Linked DNA regions of Drosophila melanogaster. The protein of the gene in region 2 interacts with the protein of the main gene of each other region in a pairwise test. Each region holds a gene or a part of one and is shown on either strand. Other genes may lie near its edges.

Region 1 (4,174 bases), on a different chromosome or scaffold from region 2:
CTTTAGCGATTTGCCACTGTACCGCACAAGAGCAACGGATTCAGTTTGCACTCGACTGCTGATAAGCGTGCGATTCCTGCAGGGCCAAAAGACAGACACACACACACAGACGCACACACATCCTGATGGCCATGAATACATGCACCGTTGAGTTGCGTTTATATCGGGCTTATGTTACGTCTAAGTGAAATTTAAGGACTCCACTCAACAACGTTCCAAATCCTCAGCATAGTTCAGTTTCGGGCCATGTGTGCTCGCATCTCGCATGATGAGTTTGCCATTCACGGAAGCAGGAAGCCATCAAGGCGCACACACACTCACACGGTAAAATCTGCTCACACCCCGCAAAAAGGGTACACAATCACACTCAATGAGTGTCGCCAGCCGGCAGGACACAGATCAGGAATACAGGCAGCTTTCACCTGCAACAGGACGTTGCCACTTATTCAAACCGCAACGGGCAGAGCGGCTGAGCTGGCAACAATAAGTACCAGTGACGTGCTGGGAAAGTGGTAGTTGATTATTAGCTTTGAAAACCTGAAGCGTACTTGTATACAATTAGCATGAAATTAAGCTTGCAAACTTGGGGACCACCAGCTAATATATATTGTACATAGCAAATGCTTTTCATATAGCATATACCCATAATAGTTTGGAAAGTTTCCTTGTACCTAGCACTCACCTAGTTTTCCCATCACTGAGAGACACCGATTACGAGCAGGCTTACAAAGAGTGGACGGATACTGTAACCGGGTCTAGACCGGGCCATTTTGCAACCACTTCATTTCGAATCTAATAACTCCAATTACAAATGGCGGATGGGATAAAACCATTGTGCATATGCCGGAGAATCCATGACTGTGCGGGTGCGGTTTCGTTTCAGTTCCCGGGAGGCAATATGAGTGGGTGTCATGTGGGTGGCTCAACTTGTTGCTGGACTTTATGACATGCCAGCCGCTTTATCCAGGCTATTATTTCTGGGATTTTATGTGAAAGGACAACGCACGAATGCGCAGACAGGATTTGCCCGGCAAAAAGAGAAACTCGCACAACGGAAAGGTTCGGTTCCGCAGCATGGAAATGGCCGAATCCTGCAATTAGGCTGCAAATGAGTTTTTCAGTTCACATCGGGAATTTGTCAGCAAAACAAATTTTATTCCTCTACATGGATACTTAAAAGCTAGTTAACTTGCACGTGATGGGAGTAGCTAGGTGTTTTCTTTTTTCGATGCGATATTCTGGGATAGGAAGCGTTACCGTTGAAATTTCACTTGAGACCATTTACTTGACGCGGAAACGACGCAGATTGGGTGGCAGGTAATCCTGGCCAGCCACCACATTGGCGGGCAGGTACTCCGAGCTGGGAGCAGCTGCAGCAACGGCTGGGATGGCAGCAGCCTGGGCTGGAGACGAGGCAAAGTTCAGGACAGGAGCACGACCCTCGTTGGAGATGCGAGACACGCCGGGCAATTGGTTGTACTGGTTCTGGATGGCCAGTTGGGCATTAGCCGCATCCTCTGGAGTGCGGTACTTGACGAAGTGCACCTCTGGTTTGTTGGTGGAGCTCGTCTTCAGGGCATTCAGTTGCTTAGCCAGGTTGGACACATCGGACTGTTTGGTGAGAACATAGATGGCGGTCTCCTGCTGAGCAGACTGCTTGGCCAACTGGAGGGCAGCGCGCTCGAAGCCCTGATTTTCGGGAGTGCGAATGAAGACGACGCGGAGGTTCTTTTTCAGGGAGTTGGCGATCTGCTGGTTGCTGGCACCCTCATCGTACTGTTCCTCGGGGGCGGCGTAGCTGTAGAACTCCTTCTGGAACTCCTCTACCAAAGGTGCAATCTGGGGAGCAACAGGTGCTTCAATGGGCTGGGAGAGGACTGCTTCGCCACTCTGCACGGGCAGCACCTGCGACGGAAGTTCTCCAATCACCTGACCACTTCCGGGCAGGAAGGACAGACCCTCATCGGCATGTGCCACGGGTTGGTAGTTGTAGCCCAGTTTATCGGCACTGCAGCTCACGGCCAACAGACAGAGGACCTGCATGATGTTAAATATTAGTTTTATACTGTATTATTCGATTCCCTTATTTTCTAGACACTTACGATAAAAGCACGCATGGTGACTGGAAGCTGTGTACAAATGGAGCTGACAGGAGGAACTAATGCTGGGAGTTCAGCACAATCTGGCTTTTATAGTTGAAGACGCGGCACTGCATTTACCCCTCCCACGAAATAGACCCAGTTTTTGGCCAAGGTAGATAGAGAAATCCCCTGTTAACGAACGACCTTGCTGTCGCAGCGCTGTTGATTTGATTTCGATGCTATTCGACAGTCATTAAAATGCCCCACCGTTTAAATATGCAAGCGTATTCCCCGACCTAGGCCTATCGCCAGCCCGCGATCGTTTGTCTTGGCTTTGATTTTAATGCACTCTGCGACGGTTATAAATATGCATGGGATATCAGGGACTGTGATTGCAAATGCGGCGGACGCCAACGACACTGCTACATTATCTAATTGATTTGTGTTGGCTACGACAGGCCATAAAAAACACAATCTGGATGCTGCAGAGACGGACCAAACGGCAGCCACTGTGTTGAAATGCTCGGAAAATAAACAGCTACTGGCTTTGGCGATAATATCTGGTGGCTGGCGGTCACTGCTCACTGGATGGGATGCCAGTTGCCAGTTGCCAGTTACCAGTCGGCAGTTGGTGCTCCGGGTTGGCCAGCTTAAGCTGGTAATTATAATTTTCATAATTTTCCACGAGCTCGCGTTATCCACTGCGCAGCACGAGTCGAAAACGTCAATCTTTTTCGACGGTTCAGTTAATGAAGTTCTTTAACTAATTTAAACTTTTTCGGCATCGTTTGATGGCCACGGCGAAATAAGAATTTAAATTGTGGAATAGCATCTGTGTGGGTCGACGGGTCACCAAAGATACAAGAAAGAAATTAATAATTACAATCTTCGTTTGACAGTTCAGCTGGTATAAGGATAATAATCTTACTATAAGGGGATGACTTTTATCTGTATCTGCTTAATAGTATTAAGAATTTAAGCTGTGATATACCATATAGTTGTTGTGATTTCAGTTCCCAATGGATGCTTAAATTATGGGACTACCATTGATCGCACTACCATGATGACTCCACCCAGCGTTTGGCTGGCTATTAGCCGGGCCCGCTGCACAGCAAAACTCATACCAAAGTTGGTAGGCAAAAACAAAAAAAGAAAAAACAGCGCCAAAAATGCGCCTAATTTGGAGATGGCAAGCCAAACAAGCCAAGAGCCCCAAAAACGATGAAAAGATTGGAAAACACGCAAACTTGGCAGCTGCTGCTGCTGCTGTTGCTGGATGGAATCCGAGACTTGGACCTTGGACACACCTGTCCCAAAATTGCAGCAAGTCATGAGCTGCCTCCGGCCAGGATTCAGGATTAAAGCGCTTGGCTTCGTGTTCCCCAGTGTTTGGAGATACCGCGAAATAAAAAAAGCCACCTGAAGGGCAGTGCTTGTGGGTTGGCGGAGGATTGGGGAGCATTGTTGGAGAGGCAGCTTTGACGTGACTGGCAAAGTTTTTGGCAGGCGCCGCTAACGAGCGAAGCTCGTCCTCCGCCGCCCAGGATCTCATGTTGCTCAAAAATGCTTAAACTAAAACTTGCTCAACAGATTTGCGCTGGAAACTAGGAAAGAGAACAGCGGAGGGATCCTTTTTACGGCTGCACTTCGCCGTGTCATATGGCGCTGGCACTCGGGTGTAAGTGTGTGTTTGACCTTTGACACTAAAACAATTTGCAAAGCGAAATGATGTCAGCCCCAGTGTCCTGTCATCTCCGACCCCTTCTCCACATCACTGTTGTTTGCCGACTAGTGGCGTAATTTAGTTGAAACATTCTTAAAGTACCGCCTGTCGTAGAATCCTGCGTCCTGGTGGGGCAATGCAGGAACAGCGATTCCGAGTGGGTGGAGCGGTGGGAAAACTCCGCGCGCAGCTCATTAAAAAGTTTGCGAGTGACAACGGCGTCGGCGACATTTGCTTAAGAAAACATTTGGCGTCGGGAGTCGGGAGTCGGTTAACAACACCTTAATGATTATCTAAGAGATACTTTGAAAATAATCCACAAAGTGTGTGGGACAGAAGCTCAGAAGTAAAGTGTTCCGCTCTTGGGCTG
Region 2 (4,793 bases):
GAGATAAGGTTTATCGGTGGAGGGGTGACGCTGTCGTATTCGTGGCATCAATTATAAGTGCTTCTCTCACAACAACTCGGGACGAGTGTATCAATGAACTAGCTAGCCAAGCATGAATTTCCACCGAAAGGGCAGCCAATTGAGCTCAATTAGACATGAATATGGATTAGGGTGGCTCGGTCATTCGCAAGATATAAGTTTTTCTATGCTTCAGTTCTACACTTACAATGTAATGATGTAAAAATGTAAATATAAAAATAATTAAAAATTCACATTTAGCAGTCTGAACTGATTCCATTGACAGATGGCAATAAATCACTCTCTGACCTAATGATTCATCAAAATGATGTGTGTTTGGGAATAAGCATGAAGGAAGCCATTTAAATAGTTTAGACTATCATACATTATCTAATCGACATTAACCGATCCACCCTAAGATGGCTAGGGAGTGACTTCAAACAGTCTTTATGATTACCATGCATATGCCGTGGGCATCGAAGGGATTCCAGGGCACGTTCTCGGGATAATGGGCCAAAGGCTTGCTCTTGTAGGCGCGATCCAGCGGCGAGCAATGTAGGTTGTCCCCTAAGAGGCGTAGATGTGAAGTTAATCCCAATCTCGGCGAGCATTCATCACTTACCCGCAAAGCGATCCGGTTCGAGACCCGTGTCCAGATCCAGTCCACATATCACAAAGTAGTCGGCGAAGCGCGAGAACTGCGGATCCGCATCCCGCTTCAGTTGGTTCAGCTCGGACTGAGATTGGGACTGCTCCCCGGGCGAGGTGGGAGATTGCACCAGGGTGGAGGATGGAGCCACCTGGATGTTGGGACCACTTCCATTGCCACTGCCATTTCCACTCCCGCTGCTGAGCATCAGCTTGGACAGGCGACTAGAAACCACATTCTCCCTTGTGGTCATCGCGTCCTCGTCCTCCTCCTCCGTTTCTCTGTCTCTCTCTCTTTGTCTTTAATCCGCCAAATGGGACATCAAACAAAAAGCACTGCCTCCATGTGTGTGCGTGTGCTGCTTGTGTGTGTATACATGTACCGTTATGCGCTCGCGATTTCGTGCACTTTCGAATTTACACAACCAATCAATTTCCGTCTGCAAAATACGTACAACTTTAGGCACAACAACAAGCCAAGTGCTATTTTTACTTGTTTGTTTTATTTTTACAATTTCGACGAAGGTGTGCGTGTGCGAAGGAGAGTGTATGCAAAATTTTCTATGCCAATGTCGTTGCCCACGTCCACCACCAACAACACAACACTCTCCTCTTTCACAATTACACTGTCGTATTTAACCCGCTGCTGGGCCGTGGGAGCCACAGCAATCACTAGCCCCAAAACTGGGTTAACACTGGCTGCGTGTTTGTTTGGACCTACCAACAACAAAGACCAGCTGGGCAAACAAATATCGCGGAGTAGAGCAGACCTGAGTTTTTTTTTGGCAAAAACAAACTACTTTGGTCGCCAGTATGACCAGGCTGTGTAAGTAGGAGTAAACCAAAAGAAAATGACCGTTATAATAATTCAACTAAAAGCATAAGGGGGTTTCTTTAAAATACCAGCAGAAAAATACTTGCGAAAAACAATTGCATCGAAAAATATGTTTGTTTTTTAAAACTTGAGCAATAAGTAAAGCTGCATATTTTACCACCCTTTTTGTTATATATACCGTTGGTGTATATAAACGAGTTGTACTGGTTCCGAAAATAACACTACTACAATAGGGTGTATATGGTTTCGGAACCCGTTCAGGAGCGGAGAGTTGGGGTGGGGAACCAGCACCGAACCAGTTCTGAACCGGATCGCGACCTGACGAGAAAAAGTGTATCACTTCATCACATAACATTTCGCATTTAATTGGAACGTAAATTGTGTGCCCCGTCGAGACAGGAGTTTTGCACCGGAAAAAACGAGTGCGGAGGAGTGGCGTGTAGGAGTGAACGCCAAGGAGGAGCACTCCGACGTCGTAACAAACGAATAAAACGAATCCAAATCCGACACCCCCCCACATGCGATTGATTTGATTGATTGAGAGCACGAGACCACGAGTTCTGGGCGATGCACTCGTCACTCAGCTGGACCTCGCGTGCGATCTCTCGCGCCCTGCGCAGCAGCTTCTCCACGCTCCTGGAAACGGCCACGGGTGGCGGAAGTGGGGCAGCAGCCAAGGGGGCCACCAAGTCGGGAGCGACACCAGGATCCTCGGGCGCCCCACGACCCCGTTTCGTGTCGGTGGTGTGCGGCTTCGCCAAGGACAACCTGCGACACAAGTACAAGCCGGGAAAGTACGGCGAGGACTCATGGTTCAAGGCCTCCACCGCCAGTGCCGATGTCATGGGCGTGGCCGACGGCGTGGGCGGCTGGCGAAGCTATGGCATCGATCCCGGAGAGTTTTCATCGTTCCTGATGCGCACCTGTGAGCGGTTGGTGCAGTGCAGCCACTTTAATCCCCAACGACCAGTCAACCTGCTGGCCTACAGCTACTGCGAGCTGATGGAGCAGAAGAAGCCCATACTGGGCAGCAGCACCGCCTGCGTCCTGATCCTCAACCGTGAGACGAGCACCGTGCACACGGCCAACATCGGCGACAGCGGCTTCGTTGTGGTGCGCGAAGGCCAGGTGGTTCACAAGTCCGAGGAGCAGCAGCACTATTTTAACACACCCTTCCAACTGTCATTGCCGCCGCCGGGACATGGGCCCAATGTCCTCAGCGACAGCCCTGAGTCGGCGGACACGATGAGCTTTCCGGTGCGGGATGGCGACGTGATTCTCATTGCAACCGACGGAGTGTTCGACAACGTGCCCGAGGATCTAATGCTGCAGGTGCTTAGCGAGGTGGAGGGCGAACGCGATCCCGTCAAGCTCCAGATGACGGCCAACAGCCTGGCGCTGATGGCGCGCACCCTGTCCCTCAACAGCGAGTTCCTCTCGCCCTTCGCCCTCAGCGCCAGGAGGAATAACATTCAGGCGCGTGGCGGCAAGCCGGACGACATCACCGTTGTCCTGGCCACCGTGGCGATGTGAGAGTGGTGCTCCAGCCCATCCTCCCTAGTGATTAACGTTTACTTGTAGTCCGTACGTGTTTAGTTAGCTTTAGGAGCCAGTTTCGTGGTTCTGTCTACCGTTTAAGCTGCATGTTGAGATTGAGATTGTGATTGACGAGGACGACGACCCTTTGACCCTTTGCATTGTTAGTTACATATATACGAGCAAACTCATTTTCGAACCGACGAATCGACTTCGACGCATCCTGGTGAGCGACCCGCGCCTCGATTGTATACATAACCCTCGCTATAAGTAGAGAATGCGAATTATCTGCCCGATCTGGCGATCTCTGTCGTCAGTGGCGTTCTAATCACCACAAACAATAAACAAACAACCGATTGCGAAACAATCCCCGACGCCGAGGATCATAAATACGAGTCCGGGGTCCGGATGATGGAAGCTGGATGGATGGTGGACCCGGAATGGAGCGAGTCGAGTGCAGCTATCTGACTGAGGACGGAGGATTACCCATTTACGCGGGCGAACGAACTGTCTTTAAACAATTTTTGTCGAAATGTACTCACTGATATTTGCGACCCAATAAAATTTATTCAATGAAAAACAACGAATGCAGCTTGTAGTCACTTCGTGATAAATTCATTAAGCAAATAAATATGTGTAAACAATAAAGCTGTACGGAAAACTTAAATAGAACGTTCTAATTGCTTAGATTAACTCATGGTCAGAAAGATGGAAATTGATAGATTCAGGAGCGGACAAACTGATTAGCGTGGGGGTGTTTATTTTTAATGCGATGTAACAATCATTTTCCTCCAGAAGTATAGGTGAAATTACATTTTTAATTAAAAAGGTCTTATCTGAAAGAAATCGATTGCGCTTCTGTGACGCAGACTGACTACATATATAAGCATAAAGCTGCAAAAAATATATGCATTCTACAGATTATTATTATATTCGAATAGGAAAAATACCCAGAACTATTTTTAAAAATTTTATTCGAAAATATTGCGTTATTTCGGTGCAACCTTAATTATTTGTATCTAGAATAAAACGCGCTATGGTGGTGCTATTTTTTACGCAACTGTATATGTGTTAAATCGATAATATAAAAAAACATTTATTTTAATTAGTAAAGTTTTTCGCCAGTTTGTAAAATATGTTAACTTTTGGCTACACTTGTGGGTAAATTAAAAGGCTTCATAGATGCCAAAAAAATTTCAGTCAATAGCAACGCACCAAATCCCCGCTGAATTGGTAGGAGTCTAGTGACGAAAGCATCGGTTGCCCCTAACGTTCGGTAATTCAAATTTTGTGACGAATAATACAAATCACACAATAACATACATAACAGAAAAGCTTACGTAACTGAAATCATTATTTAATTTAATATATATGAAAATAATTAAGCTGACAGGGAATGCAGATTAAGTTAGTTTTTCAATAAAAGATAAAAGTGTTGAGCTACCTTGAAAAATATAAATAAACTGCGTGATTTAATTAATTACAATAACAATTAAAGGTAAACATTAAATTCGGTATATTTGTACAGGAAAATACCAAATAATCCATGCCTGCGGTCACTCTGCAGATAAGGAATCAAAACAAAAGACGAAAAAATAGAATTTTTATTTTACTAGCATGCAAATGGGCAAATGTTGGAATTGAGTAAATAATTGTCCGTTGGTTTTGCAACCACTAAGTCAACATGAAGCTGTACAAGCTGAACACGCATACGCGTGGCTGCAACAAATCCTACGGTAAGCGAAAGTGGATATTG
Region 3 (8,391 bases), about 11 Mb from region 2:
CGTGTGGCTTATGCTCGAAGATCTTCATTAACTGATTCTGTGCCTCGTTGATGCCATCGGTAATAATCTTGCTGCGTTGAATGTTTCCCTGCAAAGTAAATTGGTTTTATGTTGAGATTCAAGCATAATGGATATAAGTATAAGAGCGCACCTTTAGCAGTTCAGTGACTCGCTCAATTTCGCTGTGCTTCTCCTTGTCCTTTTCGAGATCCTGCAGCATGGTCTCCAGCCTGCCCAGACTAAAGACTTCCGATTCATTCTGTAAGAAATCAGTTCAGTCAAAGTAGCCTACCAATACTTTCGTGCCCATTGCTTACCAAGTCCTCCATTTGCGAGCGTAAATGATAAATTTTCCATCCATTGATTTTGCCCTGCACATTTGGCTGATTGGCCAGATCAATGACTGTGGCCCGCCGCTCCTCCCTTGGCTTAACATCAGTGTACCGATGAAAATGATTGTTGGCCAACTTATGTGTGGGCTTATACGTCTGTAGATCAACGGAATCATTTGTTAACTACCACAAAATGAACTGAACCTTCAACTTACATTGAGCAAAGCACAATTGCGCGGACGACGAATCACAAAGTCGACGGGATTTGCGTTCTCCTTGTTGCCCGCCACAGCAGGTGTACTGTTCCGGTGGTTGGCATCGCCTGGCGCACTGTTGGGAGCAACACCCGGGGTCGCTGCTGTCACCAGTAGTCCTCCATTGTTGTGCTTCTGCATGTACGAAGCGCCAGCCGGCGGCGTTGGCTCCGAACTTGGAGGTGGCAGCGATAAGGATGCTTGACTCTGCGTAGAGTGCTGGCTGTCATTGCTGGCAAATACATTATCAGATTATCAACATGCATCATTTGATACAACCACTCAAATAACTCACGTCGATCGTCGCGGCTTTTTCCTAGAGGAGCAGTCATAACTGGAGCTGGAGCTATTACCAGTACCATTCATACGCGTTCCTTGTTGCATCTGCGTCGATCCCACCAAATGAGGCACCTGCTGAGGCTGCTGTTGCTGCGGCGTTGGTGCTTGCACATCCACAAAGGCACTGCTACCACTGCGGGCTCCCAGTGAGGAGTGACCAAGGTTCTGCTGAATCGATTGGTGTGATGAGTACATCTTTTGAAGAACAAATATTAAAGCCATACTTAAGCATATATTGATTGTTGTGTACACACCTCATTAATGGGATTAAAATGCGTGGAATTATCGCGCCCACCAGCGCCTCCCGTGGCTGGCTGATCGCCAATCCTGTCCTGTAATTGCTGATCCACACCAGGTGAGGAATTCGCCGACACTGTAGTTGAGCCGTCCGACGAAGCCGGCGAGTCCGCCCTCGAATTTCTCGTTGAGTTCACGGGGCCAACTGTGGCAGGCACACTAGCGGCGCTACTTGCTACACCATGGGTGACTCGCTCCCGTTCCTTCTTGGCCAGCGCCTCTACGGTCAGCCCAGAGCCAACTGATTGAGGCACTGTCACGGACACCGGCTGAATGTTGAACGTGGTGCCCGGAGCCGGTGGCATGTTTTGTCCACTGTTATTGCTAGCCATTGAAAGCAAAGTGGGTCCTAGATTTTTAGCCGCCCGTATTGGCGAACCTTCCGCATCCCGCTTGCGCATAAAGCTGGACACCAGTGCTCCACTTGCAGTTGCTTGTTGCGGATTGCCCGCTCCCGTGGTCACCTTAACGGACGTATGCAGCGGAATAACCATGTGCTGCGGCGGCGCACTATTTGGTCCTGCTGGTATTATCAATTGCTGGTGGCCAATGGTTCGGGTGGCTGTTCCACCAGCCCCCGACGGCAACACCGTAAAAGTAGCCTGCGATCCGCCGCCACCTGATCCCGCTCCGGCAGTCGCGTGACTTGCAAAGGGTAACGAAGATACCGACAAGCTGCCACCGGCGCTGCTAACCAATTGTGCCTGCGCCTGGGTGCTCTGCGTCACTGTTGTCGTAGTCAATGATAGAACGCCTGTGGAGGCGGAGGCTGGCATAGATTCGTAGTAGATTGTGGCAGCACTTCCCTTCTCATCGATCTGTATAACGATTTAGTTTTAATAGTTAATTGAAGCATCATATATGTAGATAGTTGAAACCTACCTTCATCAACTGGCTCTGTGAAGCAACTACAGGATTCCAGGTGCGTTGAAAGCCCGTCACTGTTGCCCCGCTTGTGCTGGAACCATCTGCTCCAGGGGCAGAAGAAGCTGGTGCCATCATCATCTTGCCCAAAGTGATGCCGCTTGCGTTCTTGATGGGCGTCAGAGTTCCCGTGAGGATATTACCGCCTGGTCCCACTCCCGCTCCCCTGCCACTGATGGTAAGTGGCAGGACAGTGGCTCCACCGGCCGCCGATGTGGCACCCGTCACCGAGCTTGAATTGACCACACTGGCAGAGACATTCGGCACTGGCACCGCCTGGATGCTGGCCACGCCCTGCGGCCCCATTGTTTGTCCTCCACTTCCTCCGCCAGCTGACAGTTTTCCGATGGGATTAAGCTGTGTAATAGTTAGCGATGGCTGAACCTTAGCGGTCATGGTGACAGGTGGACGAATGCCTGTCGATTGATGGTTTCAAAGATATATTATTATTATTTCATTTAATTGTGGTAGGGTTTATTCCTATCATATTCCACTTACAAAAGAACAAGTCACGAAATAATTCTTAAATTTTCAAACACTATTTTATTTTTGTTCTTATTGTATAGTTCTCAGCTCAGTTCAATCCATAAAAAAGTAAACTCTATATAGGAGAACACCTACTTCCACAGCTGGTCGCCGGTCAACTCCAGAACCATCTTAGTGCGAAAATATTTCATGTCTTTCTTGGAAAACGTTATTGGAGCATCCCGGGTTAGGTATTCTGCAAACATGCAGACGAACACGCCGCAATCGTTCATGTTGTCTTGTTGCGGCACATTTTGGGCATCCTCGATGCGAAATTCACTGGTGTCCAAACACAGCCCGAGCTTGTCCTCCGACTCCATTTGAAGGTACTTCACTAGTGCTCGCATCAGATTCGGGTCACCGCGGCCTCTTGAATTGTAGTAGAGCATTGTTTTCGCAGGCAAATCGATTATGACCAGGCACCAGTGAACGAGCATTTGGTGAACAGGCACAAGTATGAGGTCCATGCTAAACAGATCCACCTTTCTAGTCCAGCGTTTTACGCCATCGAAGCCACTTTGCAGCAGGCGGGGCACAAAGAAAGTGCTCATGGCATACACGCTGGGCACTGTACCAGGACGCTTCTCCGATCGCTCGACCAGTAGGTTCATGTAAAAGTTGATTATTTTGTCGTTGAGCCAGCCGCCACTGGTCAGGATTTTGATATCACTGCCGCAGATGTCCAAATTGAACTTGGCCACAATTACCTGCTGCAGTGGATACTTAGATAGTTCCATCAGCCGATCATGGTGTTCTTTGGTCAGCGGAATCAATTCGCTGCTGATTCTTATGTCCTCGATCACATGGACGGACTGCTTAAGGATCAGCTTCTTGTATCTATCGATTTCGCAGGCAATTCGCTCGTGTTTGGCTTTTAAACACAACTGATGTGCTTCATTCAAGCGCTTTCTATTTAACTTGTTTTTTTGATCCGTCCAACGCCGAAATTGCTCGATATAGTTGGACCTTAAAAATAAGGATCTTCGAAAGCGTCGATTGTGGCTATGTTTGAAGACCGCTGGTATGGCTTGCAGCAGTTTCGTTTTACGGTCAACTTTCTTGACCACCTTTGGTATCTCCTTATGTCCTATGTCCTCCTTTTCAACGACTTTAAGCGGTGTCGGGACTGCGGGACCATTGCTGGTTAGTTTGCGGAAAAATTTGAGTTTTTCTTGCACGGCCATTACAACGTCCTCCTCTTGTTCCTGGAAATTCTCGGGCTGCTTTAGAACTGGCATTGTCTTGGCCATAGGGTAATCCTGACACTCTTTTGTGATTAGATCAAAATATCTAGATTTCTCCACGATCTCCTTCTCGAAAGCCAGCATGCTGCTGATGATTGTTGGATGTTGACTAAACTGAATGATATTAGTTCGTAAGCTGTTGATAACAATTGAAATAAAAATTGGGTCCCCCTATTTCAACACGAATTGATAGTAGATTCTCTGCTTCCTAGATGACAGTTAACGTGGTTTATCGATAGTTTCATACTTAACAGCAGAAGTTTCAGTTTTATAAAAATTAAATACTGAATTGACTATTGCTTAACAGATTGCTAAACTAGATGACTTGCTCTTTAGTAAGCATTTTAGAGTATTCCAGTTATAAGTACTAACTTACCCATCTTAGCCGCCGCGGTAGTGCTCATCAAGAATGGCTGCAGCATCACGTTCCCGGCCAGACGAGCTCCGGATCCGATGATCTGTTGAGTGGTTCCCGTCGCTGGCTGCTGCAGCTGAATGATCCGTGTGGTGGGCAAATTAGTGGCCGTCAGAGCAGTTCCTCCGGCTCCGGGACCCCGCCCGGGTGCCACTGTTGCTCCACCGGAAACACTAACGGCCGTTGGAGATGCCGTAACGCTGGTATTCAGCTGCGGTATGCTTGGTGCCCTGATACTTATGCTGGTTGTGTTCAGCTTAGCGGTTGGAAAACTCTTGCCCAGCGGAATTGGTCGCACCTGTCGAGGTGTTACTGTCGTTCCACCGGGCGTCGTTGTTGTTACTCCGCCTGTGGGCGTGGCCACAGCAAAGCGTGGATTAAATTGCTGACCCGGATTCTGACTTGCATTCGGTGCAGACACATTGGAGGAGTAAACTAGTGTAGCCTGATGCTGCCTCTGTGGCAATACAGTAGCCACATAGGCCTGAGGACCTCCTCCCGGTCCCGTCGCCTGTTGTGTCGCCAAGGGCTGGCCAGCGGAAACGGAAAGAGCTATGTGGAAACACAATTAGGATGATGTTGCAGAGTAAGAAAAGATACAACATACCTGTTGGCGCCTGCACTGGAGTAGTGGTCACTACACTGGCATTCGAAACCCCCGCGGATGTCGTTATAATTCGCTGGCGCGGCTGATGAATGGTTCGGATCAGTTGCACCTGTCCCTGACTCTGCATCCAAGCACCACTGTTGCTGGACGAGATGACAGCCGACGATGGTTGCGATGTGAGCGCCACTCCACTTCTGCTCACCGATGCTGTTGCTCCGCGTACGAATCCTCCGGTTGAGCTCAGCACTGTTGGCGCTGTGGGCGTAACCGTGGCCGATGATGTGGCTCTCAATGGCGTGACGAGCCGCTGGCCAACTCCAACGCCAACGCCTCCCATTTGGGTGGCCGTCACACTGGCTCGCGGCAAGTATGTGGCCTGGGTTACGGGCCTGGTAACCGTGATCGATGCATTCGCCCCACTCCTCGCCGGTGCAGCTGGTATGGCTGTTATCTGAGTCCTTCCGGTGGCCGTAACATTCTCTAGCTGCTTGATCATTGGCATCACCACCCGCACCTGTGTGGACTGACCACCAGCGCCAATAGCACGGATCGAAGCTGCCGTAGTCGCTTGTCCTGCATTCAGAGCAATTGGAGTGCCACCTAGGGAAGTTTGTTGAACTTGATTGGCTGACGCCACCTTAATTGTGCCTCCGCTGAGGATCGGTGTGCCCGCAATGGATATCCCACCGCCGCCGTCGGATTTCACGTGGGTGATCTTGGCGGCCACCGCCGGGTGCGCTGCAGAGGATGGCAAATGGGATGGCAATGAGTATTTGTTTATGACGCCGCGCAGCTGCAGGGGCGGATGTGAGTGCGATACCAAGGATGCGGATGCGGATAAAGATCCAGTGGCTGCCAGAGATGATGATGATGATGATGGATATATAGATGGCAGCAATGACAACGATGGCACTGCATGGGTGTGCAGTTGTTGGGTGCGTATCTTAATGGTTTTCAGGGGGGCTGTGCGGGTGGCTACTGTGAGATTTCGGTTAAAAGCTCCACATGGAACACCAATGGACGGACAAGTGAAATTGGGGAGCTACATACATATAACATTGGTTTATTTGTTTGGCTTTTAAATTTAATAATAATATTTGTTTCCTTTTGATGAAAATTAAATATAATATAAATATACAATTTTAAAAAGATGTATGTTTCTATTTTTTAAGAGCCAAACAAGTAAATTTATTAGATAAATAACTGGAAATATATTATCTTTGAGATCAAGCTAAATAAGAACATTTTGTGGGCAGTTGGCAACCCTGAAACGAATGCACAGTAACAACAAAACAAAGGCATACAAACGCAGACGTTGCTGCGAATGTGAGGCACAAAGAGGAATAGGAAACAAACAGTGCGCGTATGCAAGAGCAAAAGAGAGGGGCACAAATGTTATGTATACATACGCATACACGGGGACAATGCTAATACGTATATACGTATGGGGATAAATATATATAAATATTCCACTTGGATATCGGTGGACTTACCTGATGGCGCTGTAGCTGTACTTCCACCGCCCACCGGCCCTCCTCCCGCGCCACCCTCACTAGGCGCACTCATTATTCCAGCTTTGATTTTGCGATATCTGAAAGACGATTTTGGCATTAGACTTCTGTTCCACGTTTCACACGATTTTCGCCTCTTCTACACCACCCGCTCTTTCTCTTCTTATCACTGCGCACTATGTATCCACAAAATCTCTCCACAAGCACGCACACGAAAACAGTCTGAGAAAGGCTGTACTTTGAAATTTTTCTTAGATAAACTTGCCTTTTTATGCTAATTGGTCGCACACATTAAGCGCAGCAAATTAGACTTGATGATTTTTACCGCGCCACCTATTAATACGAGAAGTTTTTCTTGTTTTCCGCTCTTCTTTTCACAAGGCTCAATTAAGTAGTGTTACCAGATTGAAAACAATAAGTAATCTATGAAATACTAAACGCTAGGTGTTCAGAAAAATACTCGGAAATTACACAAGTAAGGAAATACCAAAACAATTTTTTATCCGCTTAAACCGTCATTTTAGGATGATAGGTTTTTAAGCACGAATTTTATAAATCATATTAGTAATACAAGTATTTCCAACATATCATAAAATTAAGGAATTCATTCAATATTTTCATTGATTTATAGATTTTTAACTAAGTAATGCAATGTTAACACATATTGTTTTGTATATATCGTCAAAACTTTGATTTCTCTTCATTAAAATAGACACCAAAGAAGTTTGTTAAATTCAACCCAGGAGGAATGCCTACTCTTCATAGTATTGGGGATAGGTTACTTGGTGTACAGCCAATATTAGTCATTTAATTGATAGTTATTGTCATTTAATAGATTGGTATTGTGTTTTGTCTCCATTTCCATCCAGAAACTGATGATACAGCAAGGCTCTGCAGGCATTGGCATAAGTAAACTCTTTGTCCCAATTTTGTGACTTTTTCTTCATTAAAGAGAAGAAAAGTAAAGTAAAGCCAAGTAAATTGGCTTGTTTTGGTACTTTTAAACAATGGTTCACGTTTACAATTCTTCATCATTAGTTTTAACAATAATAATAATATAGCGAAATAGGTATTAGCTTGACAATATTCAACTATTATCCTCGAAAATTTGGGCCCAAAAATAAAACTAAAAGAATATAATCAAAAAATTAAGACCCATTGGTATTTTAAAGAAAGTGGTATTTTTCGCGCGGGGGCGTATTGGCGGTTCGCCACCTGCGGCCACACTGGCCAACCCACCACTTCGCTTAGTTGTGTTTTCGTCTTGCCTTTTCCACTAGTCTCTCTCGCGAAGTAGTTGGAAAAATCACCTTTTGCAAAGTTTTTCGCTGGGACCAAAAAGCTACATTTTTCAAAAACCGAAAGGAAATTACGCTGATCGTCCGTGTGTGCGTGCGTGTGTATGTGAGAGAGTGTGTGCCATCGATCCTGCAAGTGTGTGTTTGTACGCGAGTGTGGGGCCGCAAATTAAAAGCAATACCACACTGAAAACCGAGATAATCGCACACGGAAAAGAACGGTTTAATTCAATTACAAGTGAAATTAGAGTGTGTGCCCGATAATTGTCAACTGGCCAGGTGGACGGAAAAGACGGTGGTGGTGTTACGTGAAAATTTCGGAGATCGTCGAGGGCCAGAGAATCACATTTAGTGGCTGGCCAAAGGGGAAAGAAATTGATTTTCCATTTTCCACAATTGCAATTGGAAGCAAAAGCAAAGCAGAAGAGCGAAGAAAATAAAAGGGGAGAGCAAGCGTGCGTGCACGAGCGAAAGAGAGTGTGGAGCGCGAGGGGGTGTACGACTGTGAGAGAGAGAGAGGGAGAGTGGGAGAGAGCAGCACTTCCAGGCGTCGCATCCTCCTCCTTTTTCGCATGCAATGAATATTGTCGGGGAATATGAATACAGCTCCAAGGATATGCTGGGCCATGGCGCCTTTGCCGTCGT

The links.
Region 1: the proteins of CG12091 (region 2) and TwdlD interact in a two-hybrid assay, tested with the Drosophila melanogaster proteins (one large-scale study listed by BioGRID).
Region 3: the proteins of CG12091 (region 2) and Sap130 interact in a two-hybrid assay, tested with the Drosophila melanogaster proteins (one large-scale study listed by BioGRID).

What each region holds. Positions count from the first base shown.
Region 1 is NT_033777.3:26,638,018-26,642,191, reverse strand, and holds TwdlD (TweedleD), read right to left. Parts: upstream 2,168-4,174; 5' UTR 2,118-2,167; coding exon 2,103-2,117; intron 2,038-2,102; coding exon 1,282-2,037; 3' UTR 1,138-1,281; downstream 1-1,137.
Region 2 is NT_037436.4:1,533,837-1,538,629, reverse strand, and holds CG12091 (uncharacterized protein), read left to right. Parts: upstream 1-1,794; 5' UTR 1,795-2,068; coding exon 2,069-3,034; 3' UTR 3,035-3,701; downstream 3,702-4,793. Other genes in the region: pns (pinstripe), read right to left, coding at 476-585, 641-920; Iml1 (increased minichromosome loss 1), read left to right, coding at 4,722-4,773.
Region 3 is NT_037436.4:12,804,377-12,812,767, reverse strand, and holds the start of Sap130 (Sin3A-associated protein 130), read right to left. Parts: upstream 6,867-8,391; 5' UTR 6,714-6,866; intron 6,583-6,713; exon of another isoform or gene 6,529-6,582; 5' UTR 6,504-6,528; coding exon 6,431-6,503; intron 6,082-6,430; exon of another isoform or gene 5,901-6,081; coding exon 4,938-5,900; exon of another isoform or gene 4,883-4,937; coding exon 4,292-4,882; intron 4,251-4,291; exon of another isoform or gene 4,223-4,250; intron 4,048-4,222; exon of another isoform or gene 4,000-4,047; coding exon of another isoform or gene 2,764-3,999; exon of another isoform or gene 2,672-2,763; intron 2,563-2,671; coding exon 2,105-2,562; intron 2,041-2,104; coding exon 1,180-2,040; intron 1,121-1,179; coding exon 882-1,120; intron 819-881; coding exon 548-818; intron 489-547; coding exon 318-488; intron 260-317; coding exon 152-259; intron 89-151; coding exon 1-88. Other genes in the region: CG32110 (uncharacterized protein), read right to left, coding at 2,764-3,999; Atg1 (Autophagy-related 1), read left to right, coding at 8,324-8,391.